Oryzias latipes: one gene and its partner. The protein of the gene in region 2 purifies or fractionates together with the protein of the main gene of each other region. This does not show direct contact. Links are inferred from orthologs where the notes say so. Each region holds a gene or a part of one and is shown on either strand. Other genes may lie near its edges.

The links.
Region 1: the proteins of hspbp1 (region 2) and edrf1 purify together in Homo sapiens (affinity purification with mass spectrometry; 3 studies listed by BioGRID and IntAct, counting the BioPlex papers as one, with this or other methods). This does not show direct contact. The link is inferred for Oryzias latipes from reciprocal best matches to the Homo sapiens genes HSPBP1 and EDRF1.

Annotation. Positions count from the first base shown.
Region 1 is NC_019873.2:19,100,892-19,105,301, forward strand, and holds the start of edrf1 (erythroid differentiation-related factor 1), read left to right. Parts: upstream 1-1,375; 5' UTR 1,376-1,778; coding exon 1,779-1,877; intron 1,878-2,103; coding exon 2,104-2,300; intron 2,301-2,516; coding exon 2,517-2,583; intron 2,584-2,666; coding exon 2,667-2,792; intron 2,793-2,881; coding exon 2,882-3,006; intron 3,007-3,121; coding exon 3,122-3,266; intron 3,267-3,439; coding exon 3,440-3,541; intron 3,542-4,137; coding exon 4,138-4,259; intron 4,260-4,388; coding exon 4,389-4,410. UniProt on the Homo sapiens protein: Transcription factor involved in erythroid differentiation. Involved in transcriptional activation of the globin gene.
Region 2 is NC_019866.2:14,512,541-14,516,987, forward strand, and holds the start of hspbp1 (hsp70-binding protein 1), read right to left. Parts: upstream 2,875-4,447; 5' UTR 2,751-2,874; exon of another isoform or gene 2,747-2,750; intron 2,552-2,746; exon of another isoform or gene 2,547-2,551; 5' UTR 2,527-2,546; coding exon 2,404-2,526; intron 1,840-2,403; coding exon 1,623-1,839; intron 1,522-1,622; coding exon 1,297-1,521; intron 1,187-1,296; coding exon 1,031-1,186; intron 1-1,030. Other genes in the region: tufm (elongation factor Tu, mitochondrial), read left to right, coding at 3,556-3,592. UniProt on the Homo sapiens protein: Inhibits HSPA1A chaperone activity by changing the conformation of the ATP-binding domain of HSPA1A and interfering with ATP binding. Interferes with ubiquitination mediated by STUB1 and inhibits chaperone-assisted degradation of immature CFTR.

The DNA of each region.
Region 1 (4,410 bases), on a different chromosome or scaffold from region 2:
GATTAGCTTAGGATAACAGCATTAATCGAGGTGTACTTTGTAATATTTTGATACACGTTTATCCTACTGCACTCGAATGCATCTCCGTTACGGTAAAGATGTATTGACAATAAGAATAATGCATTATGGGATATGAACGAAGCACGAAGCCTTCTGTTAAAAGCGATTGCTACCAGTTATGTTAATAAAAGACGTTAACACAGCACGTTCATACTGAAGAGAGTTATACCCTGCAACTCTAAAACATTACATACTGTGACGACCCAGAGTTTGGACAGAGCTGCAGGTGGCCGGCGCCCCCCTCTTTCTGCAAGATGCTAGACCACAGTGTGTGTCAATCAGCGGTGGGCTGATGACTGGTGGGAGAGAGGGGGCGGGGTCTACCTGTGGGTGTGTGTGCGTGTGCGTTCGGTGAACGTTGTCGCTGGAGTTAGAAGAAGCTCGCTGTGCCTGTTGGTTCGTGCTGTAACCGTTCTGAGATACAGAAACATTAATAAAGAGCTGTTTGACAACCGCCCGCCTAAGGAGCTTCCTTGCAGCTACTACAATACTTAAGTTAACGAGGTCTTAGTTGGTCTCACGTCTACGCAGTACACGGCAGGCTCATTCAGTAACAAAAAAATAAATTAAATCGATATGAAACTCACGTAAACTATGTTTTTCATAAGTATAACTTACTTTGTCATTCCTCATGGTGGAAATTCTGTCCTCTGACACATTTCTATCCCTTAAAAAGGAATAAAGAGGCTCCCGCTGATTCTCCATCTTTTCCCACAGGTCATCAAGACGAGAATGAAATGTCCCGCGAGAAGATGACGTTTTACTGTAAACAACTATGTCGTTATTACGAGAAAGTATGTCGTTATAACGAGATACTTTCTCGTTATTACGAGAAGCTGTTCCAAAAAATATTTTTCGCAGTGGCAGCTCAGAGCTTCCGTAATTTTGGAATAAAGTATTCCAAAATACATTACAAAATCATATATTTAGGCATTTGTAAGTTTTTTAAATGTTTTATACGAATACAAAATTTATTTTAAAATGTTTGTAATTTATCATAACAGTGTAAATGCCAAAATAATAATAATAATAATAATAATAATAATAATAATAATAAAAATAATAATGATGACCACGCAACAATTACATGGGGTATAATCATTAAAAGATAATCGACCAACATAGACTGCAAATACTTCCGGTTCAAGATTTTTGTATTTTAGATTTTTAACAGAATTTATTTTTAAATGCATCATTTTACGTTCTAAAATATTTTTGTGAACTTACTTAAAAAAAATTCAAAACATGTTCCACTTCAAAACGTAAAAATACAATCAATGTTGCATTTGGCATTCCTCCAACCGGAAGTCGTTGTTTGTTGACTGCTAAGAAGCGAGTTGGATACAGAAGAGAGGCAAAACAGTGTAAGTTGGGGTTCTGTTGAGCGAAAATAGTGGGAGAAGTTTGAAAGTATAAATTATTATTAATGTGGAGGATATAAAACTAACCATGTGTTTTAGTTGATGTGATTTGAGCTGAATCGTTTTTCTACCTTTGCTAGTAGTGCGGTTTATTTTAGCCTCGCAAGCTCTGGAACTATCTAGAAAGAACCCTGACTTTCTGTTACTACAGATTCGTGCGACAGGTCAGGAGGCAGATCATCGAGTCGGAAGAACGATACGTCATTATCTTAACACCAATTACATATAATAATGTAGCTGTTCGACGAATTATTTCGCTAATTTAAGCGGGAATAATAAAGTGTTGTAGAAAAAAAAATGAGCTCAACAGCTGGCGATGACAGAAATCCTGGGATCCTCCTGGATAATGATAAAGACATTGGAAGTCCTGCCTGCTCAGAGGATTGCAGCAAACGGGTAAGCAACATAAAAGAATGAGCTATATAATTGTTTATATTAATATGTTGTGTTTTTATGTCTTGTTTATACACTAACAAGCAATCCTTGTTTCTATTAGGCTTATTTATGCAGTTATTAGACCTTATTACATAGTCATAGGAAAAATAAACTAAGATTTGTACTTCAAATGTCTGCCTCTCCTGTTTAATTAGAACATGAATGTTTTTGTCTCCTGCTTCACCAGGATCCCACTATGTATTTGGGAAATGGAGAAGTGAAGAGTAGTGCTGTGGTCAAGTACTCTGCTGCCCCCCCCAGCACTTATGCCCTCCCTGAGGAGAAGACGGACCTGAAGCTGCCACCTGCCAACTGGCTGAGGGAAAACCCCCAGCTTGGCAGCGCTGTTTTAGGGTCAAGCAGCAAAAGCAAGCCCTTTTCCAGGTTCCTCATCTATTTCTTAAAGATCCAGTCCCTGAATGATGACATATGACCTTAAGATTTTTGGATTTAGAGTACATTGGGAGGTCCAAATTACATTTTAAAACGTTTTATGTATTTGTTTGAACCTGAAAATCTATTTCTTTTTTTTTCTTTTTAATAACAATTAACCAATTTAAACACATATTGATGTATCACATTTCTTTGTTTTCATTTTAGTTTTGGAATTGCCTATGACTTCATTGATTGTATTGGGAATGGTGTTGATGTGGTATCAGACTCTGAGGTTTGTGGAGAGTTTTCCTTTTTTTTACCTCTCTGACATTTGAAGACATGGCAGACTTTAATGATGGGCTCTATCATCCTCAGAACATCAAGAAACTCTTGAAGATTCCTTACAGCAAGTCCCACGTTAGCATGGCTGTTCACCGGGTTGGAAGGACGTTGCTTGTAGACGAGCTGGACATTCAGGAGCTTTTTAGAAGATCCTCTCAGGTAGATTTGAGGGTGGATCCCTTTTCTACATTCTTCCATTTATATTTTATTTTTGACAGTAATGTGTTTTTTTTTAATGCAATGTTTAGACAGGAGACTGGACATGGCTTAAAGATTTTTACCAGCGTCTAAATGATCAGAAATGGCAGCGGAAGAAAAAGAGTAAAGAGCACTGGTATCAGAAAGCCATCCTGTCAAAGTTTCTCTACTACAGGTAAGTTTTTGTTTAGGATAGTGTTAGATATAATTTGGTGCAATGTTCTACTTAAGGGCGTGTTTCTTGTTACATAATCTGTCCAAAAATCACATGTTTTTCTTTGTTTCTGCAGCATAAATGGTGATGGGGCTGCAGAGCCTGTGTTAGACAACATGAATGAGGGGGATGATGACAAAAATGCTGAAGAGTGCAGCTCCTCGTGGCCTGCAACCTTTACCAGCCCATCAGATGCTCAAGAATCAGAAATTCCTGAACAGGTAGCTTTACTAGTGAGCTCAATAAGTATGGTCGGGTCAAAAAGCTGTTTTCAGACAGTGAGAATTTTTGTGGCGGGCAAGAATTTTTTTTTTTTTTTTTTTTAGTTTGTTTTCAGTTCAATTACATAATGCCCAAAAATATAATGAACACACTGATGCCTTTTGATACTCAGGAAGGTGTTTCTGCGGACAGTAAATTTGCTCTGGGCCAGGTGACATCAGTATTAAAAGAGCAAAACCTCCCTGCTCTCTTCAATGAAGGCGAGAACAGCCAGGTAACAAAGTTCTATTCAAATGTCTGGAATTTCACCACAAACAAGAGCTGGATATTGTTTTTATTTTCAAAGATTATTCAATGTGTTTATAATTTCGAAATAAAAAGGAAAGTTTAAGAAATATTTAACCGTTATTTGCATTCATTTAGCTTTGATCGACTCAGGATATTAAATGACTACTCCGGCCACAAGGTGGCAGTATTCCTTATCATTATGACTAGGTGCATATAAAATACTATGAAGAGTATAATAATAGAACAACACAGCGTCACCTAAGAGTGAAGAGATATAAGAAGCACCACTGAGGGTTGCAAAGGATATGAGGTGAAAACACATTTGTGAGGTTTTTTGTTTATTTAAGCTTTGAATTTTATAAAGATCAGCACTATCTGATATACTTATGTTTAAACACTTTTCATACTGGATTTGATGTATTGTTCGCGTATTTTTATCAAATGAATTGATTGGAAAAAAGTACAAGACTGTGTTTTATGGAAAAATGGGGGGAAGATTGTTGAAAAATTAAACAAAGATTGTGATATTGATTACTGTTAAATTCTTTCTGTACAAGTTTTGACGACTTGCATTCTTTGCAGGGTTTAAGGAATGACTTTGTGCGAAACATCATGTGGACCTTTGAGGACATCCACATGCTGGTTGGATCCAACATGCCCATATTTGGAGGTGGTCGATACCCCGCTGTCAGTCTGAAGCTAAGGTTTCAATCATCATCCAGTTAAAAAAAGTCTATAATTTTAAGGCAGATTGATTATATACTTATTCTAATTTTATCTGTTTATAACTTCTTTTTTTTTCTTTTAACTAACCATTAGCGTCTGTTTTTCAGGGACAGCAATAAACCAATCAAC
Region 2 (4,447 bases):
TTAGAGAGAGAAATCTGCACCAGCGCTATCAGTTAGTATTATCTATTATTTCACAGAGTTTGTACCAGCTGGAAACCTGTGAATTGACTACCTAAAACTGCACGCTCCCGTCTCTGAGAAAGAGCGCGCAGATGCGGGGACGGGATGTGTGAGGGAGAAAGCAGAGGGTGGGGGTGAGGTGTTGTGGGGACAGGCAGCAGGTGAATCGCGCAGGGATTGTAATAACGTAAAACCCACTGCCCGTCACTCACTGCAGCGTGTGAGTGTGTGTTTGGCTCCGCGTCTGCATGTGATCAGTCTGTCTCACATCTACAGAACATTCAGACCTACGATCACGTTTAAAGTCTCAACGCCTGAACGAAGCAGAAACTCACCACGTATCAACCAGACTAGACCATCAGCAAAACTACCACGAGAAATACTCACCATTTATTAGCAACAGAATAACAATGTTATTAAAAAGAATCCACAGACTTATTGTACTTTAAAAATGTTGAAATTAAATCAAATGCACACATTCATTTGTATATTTAGTTTTAAACAAATTGTCGCGGACTGAGTTGGATGGCTGTTGGGTCGCGTTAAAAGTTCTGGAGTTCATTGAACGCGTCAAGCAGAGATCTGATTGGCTCTCAGTTCTGTCGCTCAGCCTGTTGTTAGGTAGTTTGGACCAATGGGGTTCAGCTATGGGCCGAATAAGGGTAATGGGAGGGCTGCAGCGGGAGGGGGGAATATAAAGTTGGGAGACGCGCTCTCGTCTCGGCGGGAGAGATTCAGGAGTTGCTGAATTAATTGCACGGCGTTTGTTGCGGTCTGCAGTAATCGGAATAAAGAACTTTAAAAGAGGTTAAGTCTCCGTGCCTCACTGTGGGGAAGGGACACTACATTATTGTATGGCTCTTTCGAAATTACATTTCAAAATATGTGGCATTTATGGCTCTCTTGGCCAAAAAGGTTCCCGACCCCTGTTCTAAACTGTAATGAGCAGGTGAGTAAAGGGGATGGTTTAGGTGCTTTTCCTTATTCATACCTTTCTGGTCAGGGTGTGAGGTCAACAGGTTTAGCAGGAGGAAAGCAGATTTGGTCCGGAGCTTCTCGTTTTCAGACTGCATGCCTCTCATCAGCACCGAGAATCCATCATGAGCCAAAAAGGCCTGAAGCCCGGCTTCCTGCTCTCGAACCAAACCTGCAGTCAAACAGCGTTACACCGTTGGACAACTGTGTGGAGCTCAACATCACTCATTTAGAAAGACACACTTAGAGCAGCTTTGGTCAGAGTGCCAGACAGGAACTTACATGAGACCGCATAAAGTGCTTTGACCCTGACGGTGGGGTTCGGGTCAGAATCCGTTAGTTGAAGCAACTTTGGAAGAGTCCCAATACTGAGCAGGTGGTCCTGAAGCTGTGGCATGTTCTGAGCACAGGAGGCAATGAGCTCAGCAGCACGCCACCTCAGCCCGCTCTGGACGTGACACAAATACCGAGAGACACACAATTCTAGTCCACCAAGCACCATCAGATCTGTAAAAAACAGAGAAGAGATGAATTAATTTAGTCCATACCATCTGGAATCATGTCAACATCTGCTCTCACTATCATTTCCAAAAGCGATTATCACAAACCTCTAGCATTATCCAGGTTCTCGCACAACTCTGACAGCATCTCAAAGGCCGACTCCCGCTCGTCCTCATCATCTTCGTCCCTCATTTCTTCTCCATTTTCATCCTTGTCACCCACATTTTCTTTACGCAGGACGGACAAGCACTGCTTTATTTGTTCTACTTCATCCAGCTGGCCTTTACAGACTTCAGAAAGCGCTTCCCGCAGCCACGTTTTTCTCTGAACCCAAAGCAAAGGCAGTTGTTGGTCAAAAACAAAGTCCCCAATGGCAAAAAATACAAATAAAAACAAGGACTGCGCATGAAACTAAATCTTAAAATGTAACCGTTTACAAAAGTAAACGGGAAAGTTGTTATAGGTCAGATTTAACAAAAATGTTTAAGGTCATACTTAACAAAAAATGAATCACAAGGGAACAGTATCAAACATTGTATCGGGTAAAGAAAGAATTGATTTAACTCTTTCTTAAATTTAAGAACATGCATGCCATTTAAAAATTCTTAATAGCATTTTACTTCATTCCGATAAATAACTGTTTTTTCCACTAAAGAAGTTGAAGTAGTGTCACATATAAAAGGTTGGGTTTACTGCTTTTGAAACCAAACGATTTCAGAAAAGAACTCACAAATAAATACATGTTTCATTCAACTGAGACTAATTAAATCAATTGATCATATTATTTAGTATGAAATATCCTCCTCACATAAACATGGTGAAACAGTGTTTAAGAACACTAGGTTCAGGACTGTAGTGAATTGAAATTCCCTAAACAAGCAGGTTTACCTCCTCTGACATTGGCTGAACTGGAGTTGGAGCCTCTGCTGCTGGTCCAGCATCTACTGCCATCTGTAAAACCCCCTGAAGATTCCGGGGATATCTCCTGCCGTTCTGTTCGCCTTCCGACATGTCTTCTTCTGTCCTCACAGCTGTGCAGACAAAACAGAACAATTAACAAATATGTCCTGCGAAATGGTAATACATGTCTTCAACAAAACAGGCTATCTCTGGGAGCCTATTTTAATTATTTAGCTTACAAGCTAGTTCTGTTCTGACAAAAGCACTGGTCGCTAAGTAAGACAAAAATGAAAAGCACATCAACAACAAACTAGCTGTAAAAAAAACTTACTTACGTCCTATTCTGCTTTAGCTCTAATGTCCAGTGATCTTTCTGAATGAAGGAGTTGTTGCCGCAAGTCCAACCTTAAAAACACAAACACGTGAACACACTGGAAGGTTCTAGGCAGCACCCGTTGACGCATGCGCACTCTTTTTTTTTTACCGTAAAACACCAAAAGAGTCCATGGGAAAAATATCTTTGTCAGGTGTCTTTGTCTAATTTTTTTAAATTAAATTTTTTGTCCTAAGATTAACGTTTTTTACTGTACTAATTTGAAAATGTAAGTTCAATCTTACGTTAAATTACATCATAATTAATGTCAAAATTATATTGAAGTATTAACATGATTACGGTATAGAGACTTCCGATTGAGGTTATACACCCAAAGAGCATCAGTGAAATTGAAATTAGTATCTTCGCAATCTACTATGTGCATTCATACACTGAACTTGAAGAAATGTTTTTGGATTAAAACTAAGCAACCTTATTCTCGCAGGAAAAAAAATGTATGACTTTTTTATTCATACCTTTGTTCTAAAATAAAAAATATATAAAAATAAATCAAAAAAATAAAACGTAGACTCAAATGTTACAAACATTTTTTTCATCATCGACTTACAAATATAGACATCTGGCAGTGCAGTACATATATCAATAAAAAAAATAATAATAAGAAGAAGACATTTAATCTTAATTGATTTGTGTAAATAGTTGATTTTGGTTATACATCTACTGACGACGGTTGATCGAGTAAAGAGGAAGTTAGGTCCGTCAAGTCTCTTGATGTCGGAAGTCTTTGGTCACTGCCACCGTCCAAGATGGCTGCGCTTGTAGGGCTTCGAGCGTGTTTCTCCGGTAAAATAGTTCAATTGTTTTCAGTTGTATGAATTTTTCTGTTTCGAGGGAGCTAGTAGGATTAAAGCAACGTGCTTTTCTGTTTATTATCATAAAATCTTTGAATAAATGACTTTTAAAAGAACACGATGCTGCTGCTGTGATAGCAGTGCAAGGTCACGTTACCAAGAATAATGAGGGTTAGCTAACCACAGGGTTGACAGGAAAAAATAACATTTATGATACATGTTATCAATTTAAACTTTGTTTTTACGAATAAAAAACTATTTCGGTTGCAGAATCTCACTGGAAAGAGTGTATCCAGCCTTCAAACCTGGTTGGAATTGTATGTTTGACATCTTCATCATGTTAGCTAAAGAAAGCCTGTGTTAAATTGCTTTAGTTTTGTATACAATTTTTTATTTCCTCCAATATTTGTTTAATTCAAGATGCTGACTTTATTTGCACAAGCCAAATAGAAACCTGTGTTGTGTAGGCCAGTGGTTCTCAACCTTGTTTTCAATAATGTACCCCATATATTTCACAATTTTTTCATGTTTTTCGTCTTTAAAGTGTCCGCCATAAACAGGGCGTGTTTATTTGTTGACATTTATCATTTTTACAAAAGTACCAAAAACTCAAGAAACCTTCAAATTAAAAGAGTACTCGTATTTTTTTATTTTTTTTGTCTGTCAGCAAACAACACAACAATGTAATACACAGACATGTATTTGGGGGGAAAAGCACGGCATTGTGCAATTTATGTTGATTAGCAGTACTAAACTAATGTTCATCTGTCCTGCATGTGTCCTACAGAAAACATAGCATTGCTCACATATTCGCGTCATTAAAATCGATTTACTTTCAGTATGTAAA